2 linked regions of the Styela clava genome follow. The protein of the gene in region 1 purifies or fractionates together with the protein of each later gene. This does not show direct contact. Links are inferred from orthologs where the notes say so. Each region holds a gene or a part of one and is shown in the gene's direction. Other genes may lie near its edges.

Region 1 (8,154 bases):
CATAATGGATATTCGATCGTTGTTGCTTGCTTCATTTGCCTGTATTGCCAATGAATTTTATTACTCTCAGAAAATATACACGATTATCTGAATACAAGTAGTATTTTTGTCAATAGACTTGGGTATTATCGTAATATCATGGTATGAATGATAAAAAGCGTCAGACAACTCCTTGGCTATCTTTTCATATGGTCATTTGTACTAAGTGTACAATTTTAATAAACTGACTGTGTCACAAGTTGCTATTATTTTTTTTTTTGATAGCTATAAACTATCAATTACTTTGTGTACATATGCTGTTGGTATGTGGCTTTATTCTGATATTTCTATTGGAACTCATTTCCTATTTTACTTGGTTTTAATAAACTACAATAAAAATGTGTTATTTTCGATTTTAGAATGTATTCGGAATTCCAGATTCGAAAACATTATTTTAGAATGTATTCGGAATAGGTTAGTATTCGGAAATGGCCATCCCTGGCCGTGGTTCGTCATATGGTTAAGCCGTCTTATCACTTTCCTCTCCCACGGCATAAATATGTGTAGTAGAAATAATAGTGGTTTTATGTTGCCAATGCAGAAAATTAGTTTAAGGAATTATTGGGAAAAATATCTGGAATATTTAGGTTAGACATTAATTTCAAAATTGATAAATCTCCAAATTTGAAGTCCCCGCGTTCTTTGGGTGATAATGCTGATTCATTGCTTATTTTTAAGGCATACTTTGCTAACTTTAACAGAATACCCCATTGTGCCCCAGGGTCTGTCCGAATGTCCGCCCCACTTGACAAAGGTTTCTGAAAGCATTTTAATGGTAAGATGTGTATCGCGCGCAAGGGAAATTATTTGTCGCTAAAAAAAAACTATATTTACCCCTCTCGGCATTAGCCTCGTGAAGTGAAATGAATGTGAAGAATAGAGGACTCAAAATATGCAAAAGAAGAAAAGTGTCCCAACCTTTCACTACTGTAATCTATATAAGCTACCAGGAACTTGAAATAAATTCGGAATCTGCTTGAATGTTACTATATGACGAGAATGCAATATATGTTTTGTTCGTGTCATTTAGGTAGGTTAATGTTCGGCGTTTTCTGGACACTTCGTTGAGGTTAGCGCTTTTATTTTCGTGAGTGAGATGAACAGGAGTAAGTGTTGTTCGAATTTCATAATTATTTATTTCATGTATGTACATGTTCTACAATTGATATATATATCAAAGATAAGACCACAGCACGTTTTAATTTCATTCAGTAGCTTATTTCCAATCAGCAATACCCCAAACTGACAATTTTACGTACCTATTTAATTTTATTAGTTTGTTGCTATGGCTACGCAATTTATAGTTTAAATGAATGCAAGATGAAGATTAACAAACTACCATCATCGTAGTGCCGTCATCTCAAAAACTGCAGAACTGTTTCCACATATGCATATATAATATATATGATAATTCAAGTTTGATGCCTAATATTGATATATACATGTATTATCTCGCGTCTCCTTCACCCTGACATATGGCCTATTTATAATTTAATTTATTGCAATTTGTATGTTTGTGCCTATTTTAAGTATGGTCAAAAATTAACTACTGATTACTTCTTTAAAGAGTATATCAGTTATCAAACTGCATTTCCATTCGAAGTGGGGTCCAAATTTCTTGCGAAACGGAACTCCGATTTTCACCTCGCGCAGATGCAAGTAATATGCCTGTATGATCAGATGTATTTGACTGAAAACAGCAGAGATGCAGGCTCAGATATATATATGATACTGGGGCCGATTTTGAATGGATTAATTAACTTTGTCGTTGTTACGAAGGCATTTCGTGTTAATATAATGATTCCCAGGCGACGTCTTCATTTTTATAGACTAGTCTTGATTAATACCATGGAAAATCGTAGAAGCCTATTATATACAATACATAAATATTTGTCCTCTTAAGAATAGTGTGTATATACTTAAAATTTATTAATCCGGAAGATCTCGAGATTGTTGAGTAATTTGCGATCTTGTATATATATTTTTATTTAGCCTTTGCAACACTATTGACAAGTTTAATCTAGCGGCAAAGGTAAATTGTTTCGTGAAATTCGTGAAATTTCCTCAATTACACTGTTAAATTAAGGAACGTGCGAGCTTATCAATCAGGGCAAGCAGGGCAAGCATAACGTGCTTTCGATGAGGTTAAAACTGATCATCACAACTGTGAAAACAAGGTTTAAAACGAGTCAAATATAAAAACCTGAAAAAAAAACACAATAAAGGAAGTACTGTAACAAGGTACAGATTTTACTAGTGTAAATGTTGTTTTACGTTCAGTTCACGAGGTACTAAGTACCAACGTATTACAATCCACACACACTGATGCCCGTGCAAGATACATGCCCTTGAAAACAAACTGGCTATCTAATCACATACCCGACATGGACTGGTAATTGGATGCGGGGCCGTGGTTAGCCAAATGATCAAGCCGTTTCATTGGCTTTCCTCTCTTTCAAATGGATTTGCAAATCCTACAATTCAGATTTCAATAAGCAGCAAATAAGTCAGTTTGTAATGTTTCGTTTTTGCATAAATTTTGCTTTCAATTACAAACCGTAGCTGGTCCGAGGCTAGCACTTTATCCCTTTATTATGCCTATCAAGGCGCTGCTACTATTGGAGTGAAAGGGCGTTTTGAGGATGATATTTCATCAAAAAGAATCACCCGGAAAATTACGCCGAATCATTATTAAATAAAGATTTATCAACGAATCAGAGCGAAGAGGATCTTTCAATCGTGATGGCTGGTGTGTAATTAGTACTAATTAGTTGATACACCTTTAATTTATTGACTTGTTTGAGGTACGTTTTCACAGCTTGGAGAGGATCGATAATTTCGAATTTTCACTTCTTAATAAGAATTACTATTCGTATGGCGCGGTAGTTAAAATCGCAGTTACTTATATAATATTATTAATAGTTAACGCAATGTATATCGCATACGGTACCGGTAACGTTACTGATGATTTTATACCGGTACGGTAAAGTAGTAAAGGGTTAAGCTTTATCTATTAGCAATTAACGTAGGCCTACTACTATGCTGATTAGTCTCCGAGTGAATGAGTTGCTATTGTGATAACGTTACTGCTTGGTGGCTGAATATTTGACAGGATTTAAGGTTTATGGGAGCAATAACTGAATAATTTAGCCATTCGTTATCTAATTCCAGAATTCCCACCAGACTAGAAATATATTACATTGACAGATTGGTGTTACTCATGGTGCATGAATATCAATTTGTCATTGGTCTGATTATTTTTCTGCCCCAGTCGTCTTAATTTCTGTGATCTCTGCACCATCTCATAAAACCACCACTGCAACTCTGAGCTAAAAATGCATTCACAATGACAAACACTTTTTATGTCATTGCATAGAAGCCATATGTTCTGTCTGTTCAAGCCACATGGCGAGTGGCGCTGATAATGACGACTAATGCTGTAAATGCTTAATTGTTGTGATTTATTTTCTCTTATCGTAACTTTGAATCGAATATTTTATCGATCTTTTGCATCACAATGCTATAATCACTCATTGCCCCATGCAAAAAATAATGATGTTACGCATATAATGTGTGAAAGATATTATTAGCGTTATTTTTTTTAAATCATTTGTGCAAACCCCATTGTACACAGTCTCATCATAAATAGACTATTATCCAGAATGCATAATATGACCGATCCTATTTTTCAAATGACCGATTCAAATGTCAGTTGTGCATAAATTACAGATAAGGTTTTGGAAAAATACGGATTTGACAGCTTTCATTTAAATTTCAAGGAACTCATTGGCAACAATGATTGTTTTTATCCGTCTCTTGTTTTCGCTTTCATTCATTGCTTGAAACATGCTTTCGTTTCGAATGGTGTGGTACGAAATCGTCATATCGATTGGAACATTTTTCGTTAATTGCCAGTTTCGTTAAATTTGTTTGAAATACATTTGCATCTGAATTTTCTGAAAACAATATTCTGTGGCCATGGTATATAAACTGAGCTAGTTGCAGTTGACATAACTGTTGAAATCTTGTATAACTTTATGCATTAAAAGGTTACACTCAAATCAGTTTTATTTACGAAAAAGTCCAGATATACCCACTTGAAATATTCGTCAAAAGTTAGAGAGCATTTCCACAGTATGGGATTAGTTTTCATTCATATACACCCCTTCATAACGCTTCCCTTTTTCGATTCTTCTTTAAAGATGTGAGCAATCAAATGGTAATAGTTTGCTGTACATAATTGACAGTATGACATGCTACTTGATTGAACAAATTAAATAGGTTTCCTGCTCTAAGTAAAATTTGAGCTTTTTCGATTTCTCAATCTTTGGAAAATTTTGACGAGCGATGGTCTCGCAGTTCAACTGTTAGCATTGCAGATTACAGATCTTGTTTTCAAATCTCAGATTATTTCCCAAATCATAGGTAGCTCATTGCATATCATTAAATATTAGTGACAGCTGGTATAGTGTAGCTTTGTTCCAAGCGAAAGGTGCAAATACTCGTCATAAAAAATATTTATACTCGTGAAACAATAGCCTATATTTTGACTTACACATGATGCCAGTTTTTATATACTGCTTTCTAATAAATATAGCGTAGTTTCCTGGTTAGTCTATCTTTAATATTTTGTTCAGTTTGATCTTTATGTATGGATTATTTATCACTAAGAAGTCGAGTATGTCCTAGGTTTGCTGACACTTCAACATCTAAAGAGACTTTTCCGCTTGCTACGCATTTAGGAATGCGGGATAAAAACAAAAATTACACTGTTCTAGGTAACTTCAAAGAGACCAAACTATGCGCTCTAATATTTTATGGAGATTTTTAAGTCCATATCCTAATAATCATTAATTCAATATAACTGGTTTATTTGTGGATGAAATTGGATATTAATCGACATGGTATAAACAATGGAGTAATTGCAAATTGGTCAATTATGGTAGTAAAGCAGACACACCTGTCACACTATTCCTTGGATATGTTCACCTTTTGCATCTTGCATTGCATGGCCTTTTTGTTAATTTTAATTTTCTTTTATTCTAGCAAGTTCGAGTGGATCTGGAGGAGGGAGCAGTAACAGTGAACTGCAGTGGTTTTTTTCCCAAGTCAAAGGAACGATGGATGAGGATGTCTCTGAGCGTAAGCACGTTTTCCGTTACGAAAAAGCTTAGCATGACATTTGCGATGTTTGAATTCTATAAATTGAATAATGTGGATGAAAATTAATATTTGTTACTGTGACTGTTAATATATAGTAACCTCCCTCGGTTTGACCTCAAATTTGTTATTAATTTCAACTGTGTTTCATGCTATTGTTTTTCTCATGTTGTGTTTCCACCTCATTCTCTGTAAATGTAGTTTAGTTTTATACTTATTTGACAGCTGACATCATCTCCACTGTTGAATTCAACTATGATGGAGAATTATTGGCAACTGGAGACAAAGGAGGTCGTGTCGTGATTTTCCAAAGAGAACCAATGGTATGCTATTTCTATACAATATTTATAATCTTCTTTACATATGTTGTTTTCAGGCAGTCTGCTGAACAACATTCAATCAAAAATATCTTGTTGTACAGGTGCACCAAAAAGGAGTATGAAAAATGCCCTTGCTAAATTTTTTATTCAGGTGTCCTGGTTGATAATAAATAGAAAGAACAGCAATTCTATAGCGCTTTTCCAACAAAATATTGCCTTAATTATCAATACAGAAGTTTCTCACCGATAAAGTGCACACACACTTTAATAAATAATAACTACGGTAATATAGCCAGATACTGCTTTTCTAACTTTCCATCCCTAGCCTGAGCAATAGGTTTCACATCTCCCTGTCTTGAATAAAAAATTAGATCAGAAAACACACACACAGGCCTAATAATTGACATATCTGGATAGTGCGGTTGTTTTGTTCTCAGCTTAAACTGACAGCATTAATAAGACGAATAAGATTGGAATAATTTTTGAAAATTGCAAAAGTGTGTCTAATACTAAAAATAAAACAAAGAAGAAACCTTGTTGTTGTCACACTTCTCTAGCTCTGACAGATATACATACCAGTTTGCTTTGTTCAGTTTGCCATGTGGAGAATAAAAGATTTTACTCATAGCAAATGTGATAGAGAGCATGTTTTGAATCAGTTGAATGCCTACAATTCCATGAAGCAACTATTTACTATTTTTTAGGAAATGATTTCAATGATAGACAACCAGTGCCAAATATTAATTATTCATTTGCATCTAGACAATTTTGTTTTTTGTTATTTTCTGGAAAATAAAAAAATGGCACTGCTAAAATACCCTATCTTTTATCCATGAGCGAATTATGATTATATTCAAGTCTGAAGTTTTTCTTAGTTTTGCTGCAATTTCAATTTTGAATGGCCTATTAAATTTTCCTGCCGTTTCATTCACTCTCTAATATTTCAGACAAAGAATAGCGAAGTGCGTGGGAGTGAATACAATGTTTACAGTACTTTTCAAAGTCATGAACCAGAGTTCGATTATTTAAAAAGTTTAGAAATTGAGGAAAAAATTAATAAAATTCGATGGTTACAACGCAAGAATCCTGCACATTTTCTACTTTCCACGAATGGTATGTTCATTTATTTTTAAATCTGTATTTTGTAATTTTCAAATCAAAAGCAGTAGGCTATGGATATTTTTACAAATGAAAGAAAAACTGGAAATTTACAATCATCCTCTAACGTTGTTCTCCAGTTCCGAACTCCCAAGGAAATCAAATTTTGATAAAAAAAATTTCAGGCAGACTGTCAATTACTATCCTTCACCTTAATTGGTGATTATCACCATTAGAAGTCTGAAAATTCAACTATCAACCTCAGGAAAATGCAAAATTTTTACTTCGGTTTACTATGCTGAATTCTACTTGGTGGATTGAATATTAGAATATAAATAGAAATGTATTTACCACATTAGAAGACTTTTTTGATTCAGCATAATGCACCTTCAATTATAAGTTAATTCTTAATTTATCAGCTCATTTATGCAATAAATTCAAGCTAGAGAAATTTTGATGATTTAATGCACATACCATCTGTTGAGAACTTATTTATTCTATTTTATGTAAATATTATTCCCCTTTGCTGAATTTTTAAATTTAATAAAACTAAAATAAAACTATCTGCAATTTAGTAGCTATTTGTTATCATTGGTTAATGCTGGCATGCTGTGTAACATTTATTTGTTGTTCAACAAATTTTGATGTTTTACTAGGTTAGACATTTCAAAAAATTCTTGAATTTCGAAGTAAACAGGTTTTGTGATCGTGAATACTTTGAATACTAAATGTCGGTTATTCATTAACCCAAAGCCCAAAGAAATCGAAACAGATTTCTTCCAATAGAGAGTGGCCGCTATCAGGCTCGTTAATATTAGGAGCATGAGCACGCATAATCGTTTAGTTACAAAGAGTATGTTCCATTTCTTATAATATTGATTTTGGTATATTTATTTGTACCTTGCAACCATTGCCACTGAAGTGATTCTACTCATAATAATAATATTTATCAGAGTATACCATTTATCATGGAAAATTGAGAACCACAAACCTAGATCGATGGTTCCCACCAAATTTTTCTTGGCGCACCTACAAAGGGTGATTGATCTAATTTTTGGCAAGTCTTGAATACCTCGTCACCAAAAGCAATGGAGTGAGAGTTTCAGACTGACCTAAGTAGTATTTAGTCAAAGTTCACTGGAAAAAAAATTGAGGACCTGCCATTCTGAATTTAATTTCCATTCTTTTTAATGATTTCCATTCTTTCATTAATTAATTTCAATACAGAAATAGCGATTGGTATTTATAAATGTATATCTGATAACAACGTAGAATGTATTTTGGCTTTACCTTCTATTAATAATAAACCTACATTAGAATGAAAAGTTTTGCATGCTGTTACGACCATTTCGAATATTGCTACCGATATTTTAAAATTTGCCTTCTCAAAGCAAAATATGTGTTAAAATTTTACTTTCTGTATGCCTAATAACTTTGACCTAACTTTGTGAGTCATGCTCCATTTCATTGTCATTATTTATATAGAATAACTTCATCATAATAGAGTTATTGTGCTCAGCTCTAATAATTTCTATCT
Region 2 (9,105 bases), on another chromosome or scaffold:
ATCGTGCCGTCACATGACCAAAGTTGCAGTTCTTTGCTAAAACTCTCAAATGCCATGGTAGAAAAATTTTCCCTTTGGTAAATCGAATTATTTTTTCCAGAAGAATTCAATGATGACGTTTTTAAATTGTGTTATTTTGCAGTTTTTTGCTCAGCTTCATTTTACTGTATTTCTACCGATATTGAGGGACAACAATGTCCAGACATCCCCCAAGGAAGGGGTGTTTGTTCATCGGCAAATGGGATTCTTCGAAAGGAGACAATGTCTCTAGATCTGTATAGTATGCCGTACTGCAATGTCTTTTTGCGAATAAAATTTATCACAATAATCTTGGAGACAATAAGTTTCGCATACTGCAGGGGTTATTGTAGGAAAAAACAAAATATTTGTCACGTTCATTTTCAAATCGCGGCAGCGGCGAAACTTTCATGCTTTCTCGCGCTTGCCCAGTCTCAAATACTGTATGCGAGTAATGTGTATTGTATTTTGTGCATGTACTGTACTGTACTCCTTCTGTTTTACACTGCACGCTCAAAACTGGTTCAAGGCAATTTTTTGGTCGATCGACGTCTTGGTCACCCTTGCTCTAACTTCAAACCAGGGTTATGTAACCTTTTTAACAGGCGGGCCAAATACAAGTAACTGGGTGAAACCGCGGGCCGCACCTAGAAACTCTCTGGATACGAAAAACATTCGTACTTTTCATTCGGTATTTTTCTGTTATTTCTTCTTACCGTGTGTACCCTAAAGAATTCTATTTGCGAATGGGTTTCTGTAATTTATACGAAATTAATTTGTTCCAAGCCCCTTCGTAAGTACGGACGCTGTTTACCTGAAAGACATTAATCCTTCCCTCCACAAAACTCTGACATAATATTTGACTGGACTAAGCAAAGACTGTGGAGAGTGGGAGGACGGCGGTCGGGGGAGGCGTTAAAAGTTAATATCTGAAGGAGATCGTAATGTTCGAAAATAAGCACAAGTACATGAAATTTAAAATTTTATTTTATTCATTATAAGACTGCCTTCAATTACGATAAAAAATGAAATAATTGTGAAATGTTTTAAATCCAAACGTTGGGGTCGGCGATATTCTGTATCCTTTCAAACTCGAAAACCGATAATCGAAGTTCGCGATATTGGAATGATAAATTCGAATTGAACATCCGTGCTTCAAGCACTGCATCAAAATAAGCAAATATCGCTACACTACACGCATTTTTTGTTTTCGGATGTGGAAAATCTTACATTAGTCCAGGCAAGTTTTACGAAAATAATTCCCGTAAGTTTAATTTTTCATATCCAGGGCCATTCGAAGGTAGAGTTTCTACTATATTATGCAAGAACAAAAAGTTGTTCCTTTTTGTAATTGATCTTACGGCATTGTTCGGGGTCCTAGCAGAAATCCTGAGTTGAATCGCAAAAAATTTTGAAGCAAACTGCTATTTAAATTTATTGTCACACCGACTTTAAACGAATTCAGTGGGAAACGCTCTTTTATAACATTGCGTATTTTCCAACAGGATCTTTCTAGCTAGCTTCACTGATATGGCAGTGGCACTCGGATACTGGTATATATGCTTCGCAACGCTCCAGATTAATTATTAATTAAACTAAAAACTCGTTTCGCGGGCACATTTTTCAAAATTGGGCTCTTCTTTGTGGGCTGCACAATTTTTCTTTGCGGGCCGCATTTGGCCCACGGGCTGCAATTCGTTCACCCCTGCTTTAAACTACAGATTTTCGGCCATCTCCAGACAATAGTCTTCACTTCCCTTTCTTTAGACATTTTTCTTCAGACAGTATTCAGTTGAAGTGTTTCTGTGTGTAGGACTGCTTGGGACTATAGTTCTTTTGTGTTATTTTCCTCATTACAAGGTTTCACGGACATTTTAATCAAACCAAAATTGTTGAAAAATTTTAGCTCATGTAAATAAGAAGCCAAAATGTGTTTGTACCTAATTTCATAGTCAGAAATATGAACAAGCGTTTCCCCGTTGTTTCTAATTTTGATGATTTTGTTGACAATTTTTTATCGGATGAAGAAAGTAGTGATTTCTCGGATTCTGACGAAATAGACAGTGACGTAGAATTTCATTTGTACAGCCAACTTCATTATGCTGCGGAAAACGAAGTTATATCTGATGCCATATCACTTCATAATGAAGTAAGTGTCGTAGAAATATCTGGTATTTCTGCGGATCAGAATGAGAATGCTCGTAGCCAAAATAGGATTGAGCCAATAAACCCACTTGATGGCGATAGACAAGATGAAACACCAATCGTAGAAACTTGTTTTTCTGCGGATCAAAATGCCTTTAAGAGTTTTCGTAACCAAAATAAAACTAAGACAATAAATCCACTTGGTGGCGATAGACAAGATGAAACTGCAACCTTCTCTACCCAAGACAGCGATACAAGGTTTGGTCAAAATTTCGACAGTTCTATTGAAATCTCGGACAGTCCTAGTTCAAAGAATAATCTCATAAATGTTACCCCAATTCTAAATGTCACAGAGGCCGAAGAAACAATTGAACCTTCAATTCCAAGTGAATACAATCCTGTTTCAGAATCGAAACAGTTCAGCTATGATTCTGACTCTCTTGAAACTGATTTGCTCGTTGAAAGGCCGAACGTTGAGCAAGCCGTTTTAGATGACAATTCATCACATAGTTCTATCGATTATATCATAGAAAATGATTTTATTGTTACTGATGAAGTTTCAGGCGATGAAAGTAATTCTGGGCTTGATCGAATTTGTAGCGGTACTGCGACCCCCACTTTGCAAAAAATTGATGAAAAAAATGATGACAAAGTCTTTAATGAGGAAGATCTTTCTCGTTTACGAGAACATCTGGATTCGGAAACAAGCGATTTTGTTCCTGAAACTTGGGAAATAGTTGATAGTGTGGAAGATGGCTCTTCTGATAGCTGTGATGGGGGAATAGACCTTCACATCTCAGAAAAACAAGAGGAACCCGACATGGAAATGGGACAAGAACCAAACGATGCGTGGATTCCAGAAAAAGGCCCAAAGTCATGCTGGAAAATAGATATAGAAGATACCAAGCAATTTACTACTAATAATAATAATGCTGGCAGAGCAGGGAGGTATTTTGTTGGTAATTCTAAAAATTCAGGAATAAGATGCAGAAATTGTGATGAAGTGGGCCACAAAGTGAAAGACTGTACTGTGGAAAAGAAGGGACCAGCATGCTTCATGTGCGGAAACAGGGGTCATGTTGGCCGTGACTGTCCTCAAAAGGAGGGTTTAAGATACCGGGGGCGACACATGGTATGTAATAGATGTTCTCAAGAAGGTCATATACAAATTGATTGTCCGGATTTATGGAGACAGTTTCATATAACTACAAAACCTGGTCCTATTCAAGTCCCAACTATACCAGTGCCGCTCAAAAGTGATCCCCAATGCTTTAATTGCGCAGGGATCGGCCACTTTGGTCATGAATGTGAATCTCCGAGAGCAAATCAATTTTACGCGATGCTAGCGCCTTACGTTCAACGATACGATAAAAAAGCTGTTTCTACGGTTCCACAGGATTTAAGAAAGAAATTGAAAGGAAAGAGAAGTTCAGAGTCTCAAGGAAGTTCGCATTTTGAAAGATCTTATGGAGGCAATCGTGGTAACCATGGTGACTTCTCACAGGAGAAAGAGTCTAATAATAACTATGCAAGACGGAAAGAACGTCAACATATTATATTTGATTCACCTGAACGCCAACCTTCCAAATCCAGAAGACATGGTGTTAAAGTTCAAGTGCGAGAGAGTCGTCAACCGAGCACTGAAAGGCAGAGAATAGCTCATAATCAGCTACGTCCTGCTGACAAGGCGTTACGGAAAAAGAGCAATAAAAGATCTAAAACGAAGTTTGAAAAAGAAATCCCACAAGAAACAAGTTCATCCACTAGAAAAAAGCTTGACAGAACGTTCAAAAAGCAAATTCCACAAGAATCAAGTTCTTCAGCTCTAAACTTTTTTGACAAAAGGGTTGTTTCTTATGAAGTGTCAAAAGATGATGTGCAATTTTCTAAAAATATGCGAAGCTCAAAGCGAAAAGTATCTTACAAAGAATCTAAATCTCAAAACAAACATTACAACCCAGAACCTAATTTACAAAACGATGAATTTTTTCGTTCAAACAGTAAAAATCGAAAATCGAATAATCCTGGCCATTCTTTTGAAAGATCGAATAATAAAAAAAGGAAATTTATTGAACGAGGAAAACCTGATAGAGGTTTTCGTAGGCATTTTAATTAGTTGGTTTAACTACGTTATGCTACGTATTATTTTCAACTGTGAACCTATTTCTTTATTTATATTAGGAATAAATCAGGAGTAGCAATGAAAGGGTAGATCAGGGCTTCTCAAATCGAATGGGTGAACAACGAATTTTAGGGTTTGCAAAGATCACACCAAATTCACACAAAGTGCTATCGGCCTATCTATTAAACTTTTTTAGGCGTTCGATTCGAAACACAATTATCAAAACTGGTGCAAAACATAATTTACACTCACAATAGCGACGTTTTTGCGGCCAAAATTTTGATAGTTAAGAAGCCCTGGGGTTAATGATACCACTGTAATGCCCTAAATTTGATGTGTGCTTTTATTTTATTTTTTTTTAAATTTGCTTAAAGCATGTTCCCTCAGGAATATAGGAGGTTTATCTTATTTTTTGCATTAACTGCATTTACTACATTCTGGTTCATCTTGGTATGATTATCACCAGTAAAAATCAATGAAGTGCGACTCGTCGGAATAATAATATTCTGTCTGGAATTCGGACTGTTTCTTTTTATGCTGCATTCATTTTAGAGAATGTGTGACATCAAATATATCCATGTTTTCGTTTTAATTTAGATTAGTGTTCCAAAGTGTGTTTTGATTATATTCTGCCTTATTTCTCTGATATGAACATGGTCAAATCACACCGAACTAGACCAATTTATCTTTCTTAAAATCCTATCCAAGTTGCAAAACTTGGAATTAAAATTTTGTGATTTTGTTGTGTTCATTCAATAGCCAGAATATCCTTATTTAAACATTGCATTACCATTGCTGTCATTTTATGCTCCACTGATTCATAGGTTCGAATGAGTTCTTGAATTTCATTGCTGAGAAACTTCAAAATTTGTGCAAATTTGAAGTTTTAATATGTTCATTCTTTACCTATGTACTCCAGTTTTAATTCAATTTACTCCCAGTTTTAATGCATTTCTGATCTAACTTATTTTATTTTTGATCTAGCTTTATGCTCGTAAACAAATTAAGTTTAAGTCTTGAATATTTTTGTTGAAAAAAAAATGGAGGAGCAGACTACAGTGTCAGCCCTGCCAACAAGTAAGGATTTGGAACAATGGATTGAACAACTGTACGACTGCAAGCAACTAGCGGAAAGCAACGTCAAAACGTTGTGCGACAAGGCCAAGGAGATTTTAGCAAAAGAATCAAATGTGCAAGAAGTGAAATGTCCGGTGACTGTCTGTGGAGACGTCCATGGACAATTCCATGATTTGATGGAATTGTTCCGTATCGGTGGTCGCTCGCCTGATACAAATTATTTGTTCATGGGTGACTACGTGGATAGAGGTTACTATTCTGTTGAAACTGTAACCTTGCTTGTCGCTTTGAAGGTCAGATTTCAGCATCGTATTACAATTTTACGTGGAAATCATGAATCTCGACAAATTACCCAAGTTTACGGATTTTATGACGAATGTTTAAGAAAATACGGAAATGCTAATGTCTGGAAATATTTCACTGATCTTTTCGATTACCTCCCGCTGACGGCGCTCGTCGACGGACAAATTTTCTGTCTCCATGGTGGACTGTCACCTTCTATTGATACGCTTGATCACATTCGTGCTTTGGACCGTCTTCAAGAAGTACCACACGAAGGACCGATGTGTGACCTTTTATGGTCTGACCCAGATGATCGAAGCGGTTGGGGTATTTCCCCTCGTGGTGCTGGATATACTTTTGGACAAGACATCTCGGAAACGTTTAACCATCACAATGGTCTCACTCTCATCTCTCGTGCTCACCAACTTGTCATGGAAGGTTATAACTGGAGTCAAGATCGCAACGTCGTAACCATTTTCAGCGCTCCTAACTACTGCTACAGATGTGGAAACCAGGCCGCTCTTATGGAATTAGACGACGCTCTACGCTACTCATTCTTACAATTTGATCCCGCTCCGAGACGTGGAGAACCCCATGTTACTAGACGCACTCCCGATTATTTCCTGTGATTTTTTTCACTCAAGATTTCTGGAACTCAATTATTCCACTATCGGTTTTATCAAGCCACTTTGGATCATATATTTACTGGTGTTTTTCACTTATTGTCGTGACTTGATCATCTTTGAGTTTTGAAAACCAAGCGGAACATTTTTAGAAAAACACTTATAATGAAATCTGCTATTTAAATAGAAACCGAATTAATTTTTCTACAGATTAGGCCATTCAAAAATTGCTAGGACTATGTATCCATCCCTTTTTGTTACCTGCTATCTACATGGCAACCCGATAACCCTCTGAGGTCATTCAAATGCAGATTGAGACCCTTTATCTGTCTTTATTCTTAACCTTCTGTCTATACAACAGCCCAATAGCCCTCCATGGACACTTTGAATGCTAATTGGTGCCATGTAACCATCCCTACTCTAAGAAAAAGGCCATTCAAAAAGTGCTGTCTATACGGTAACCATCAGTTCAATATGGAGGAGGCCATTAAAGTATGAATGCCCTTTCTCAATTAGTCTATCCACATTATTATTGACAGGTTGCGAAAAATCCCCTCTATATGCCGGTAATTACATTTTAGTAAGGTTTGGTTCTTACCATGTTTCTGATGTATGTTCCGTTCACGGTTTCAAGTAAGAATATTCAAGGATTTCTTACTGTGAAAAAGCTGGGATAATTTAAACAGAATTTTGCAGTTTTTGTTTATGGATAACTCGCTTTGTGATGTTAATATTTTTATCATTGTTTGGTCTAATTGTCTTTTACTTTTCATCGTATATTTAATAGGATAATTTAAAATGTAACTCAGAACATGGCTAACCAAGTGGCCATTAACAAATAGAGGACTATGGGCTTATTAAGACCAGGCACTTGCGTCTTACAAGATGTCATATTTGTTAAGTTTGAGAAGTCTATTTTGACAGCTCTAACGCTTGATAAATATAAGTGATATTGTTTTTTTATGCCATTTTTTTTTGGTTTGCTTGCAACTCAATTCTACTTCTTGTGGCATAACTTTCATAATATTTTGCTGTTTTAAACTGTATGATTTCTTCGAAATGTTTCAATCTGAATCTAAATTTAGTCATGTACGGTACCATGTACAAATATTGAATTAAATCCAACATTCAAATTCAACAAATTGTCACAGAGGATATAAATGTGTGTTAAATAACTGTAATTTCTAATAATATCATAGATCATTTTTTCTTATTTTGGCTTTTCATATTTTGTTAGACTTGAATACCTTAAAAGCATAATTTTCATTGATTGTAGCATTTAAAAATTCCACAAATTATCCTTGCTGTTCTATTATCAAACTGTCAATTCCACTATTCTTGTTTACCACAGCTTTCCACACTTATTTTGTGCATATCATATTGTCAAATTATTCAATGCTAGTTTCAAGAAAGTGTTATTATTAACCGATGCTATATGTGGCAAAATTCAGAGCGTTTGCATTTTTTCTCACCTGGAAAAATGTAGTGTTCCCCATTTATGCACATAATATTCTAATATTCATTTTATTGTTACATGAAGTGATATTTCAATATTTGACCGAATTCAAAGCCTTTTCAACTCTTTTTACATCTGGAAAAATGTAATGTTCCCCACTGATATTTTTCACATGAAGTTCAGATTAAACGGTTTCAAATACTTTCCTGGGCGTGTTCTAACGATTATCACTAGTACTTTTATTAATGAGATTTTTCATCCTAATTCTGTTGGGATCTAAACCATTAGCTCTAGTAATCTTGTGGTTTATTCAAATTAAATTGTCATCATTGATTTTATATTACATAGTGGTTTCATCTGCTCTAGTAAATTCAAATTTTCTATGCCAATTATCGACAAGGCCATGGCTATTTAGGTAGTTTAACAAAGTGTACATACCCCAGATTAATGGAATTCATTGCATTCGTATTTTTAAAAATTATCATGGATTGAAACTACAGTTTTATGAGTGAAAATACCCTTTTCAAAAATATCTTTGGCATTATGATGCTGTTATTGTCTGTATTTTTAGTTTGCTGGTCAGCTTGAATTCTTAAAATCCATATCTTATTGTATCATCATTTGTATTTCAGTGGGTAGATGATATGTTATATTCTCATAATCTAGATGAGTTGCAGAAAAATATTTTGAACAGGTATAGGTAGCTAAACTAATTTAATTTGCATAAAAAAGTATTTTCTGGTCCGGACTAGGGATATTTTAGAGATTTTAAATAATGTGAAAAAAATTCTTTCAGTAGGGTTTGATTTATAAAAATGACATGAGCTGATAATTGAATAAATTCTTAGGTTTTTCCTAACAGCACTTTTTATAAGTATGGCATGTCATAAAAAAAGATAATACATTTTGTAGCAACAAGACAAATTTTTGCTAAACTACCGTAATCTAAAATTTGGATTGAAACCAAATACCGAAAATTGAATTAGACTCTCTAACGCGCAATTTATACCATGTAATAGTATGTAATAACGCTTTGATTGGCGTTTCTATAACCTAGCCAGCCCTTATGCTTTACTCAATAATATTTTGAATGTCAATACCTAATAATGAAACGATGTAATATTATGACAAGCTGTCTGGCTATGTTGTCATCTATACCTGACGTTGTTATCACAATGGTTTCGATTAACAAAATGTCATGCACATACAATATCATTTGATTATATCACAACCATAAACAGTAACAGCAAAAACCTTGAATAGCCCTGCTTTTGAGGACACATTTTAATTTCTCATCTGACAAATACTACAAATTTTTTACCATTTGATTGTTTTGTTCTAATGATGAATAATTTAACATTATACATTTCTTCTGCAATTCA

Evidence for each region.
Region 2: the proteins of serine/threonine-protein phosphatase 2A 55 kDa regulatory subunit B delta isoform-like (region 1) and serine/threonine-protein phosphatase 2A catalytic subunit beta isoform purify together in Caenorhabditis elegans (affinity purification with western blotting; 3 studies listed by BioGRID, with this or other methods). This does not show direct contact. The link is inferred for Styela clava from reciprocal best matches to the Caenorhabditis elegans genes sur-6 and let-92.

What each region holds. Positions count from the first base shown.
Region 1 is NC_135258.1:22,217,524-22,225,677, forward strand, and holds the start of serine/threonine-protein phosphatase 2A 55 kDa regulatory subunit B delta isoform-like, read left to right. Parts: upstream 1-4,623; 5' UTR 4,624-4,690; coding exon 4,691-4,817; intron 4,818-5,085; coding exon 5,086-5,181; intron 5,182-5,424; coding exon 5,425-5,522; intron 5,523-6,466; coding exon 6,467-6,632; intron 6,633-8,154. UniProt on the Caenorhabditis elegans protein: Probable regulatory subunit of serine/threonine phosphatase let-92.
Region 2 is NC_135256.1:2,854,240-2,863,344, forward strand, and holds the start of serine/threonine-protein phosphatase 2A catalytic subunit beta isoform, read left to right. Parts: upstream 1-5,264; 5' UTR 5,265-5,325; coding exon 5,326-6,273; 3' UTR 6,274-9,105. Other genes in the region: uncharacterized protein LOC120327840, read left to right, coding at 1,979-4,279.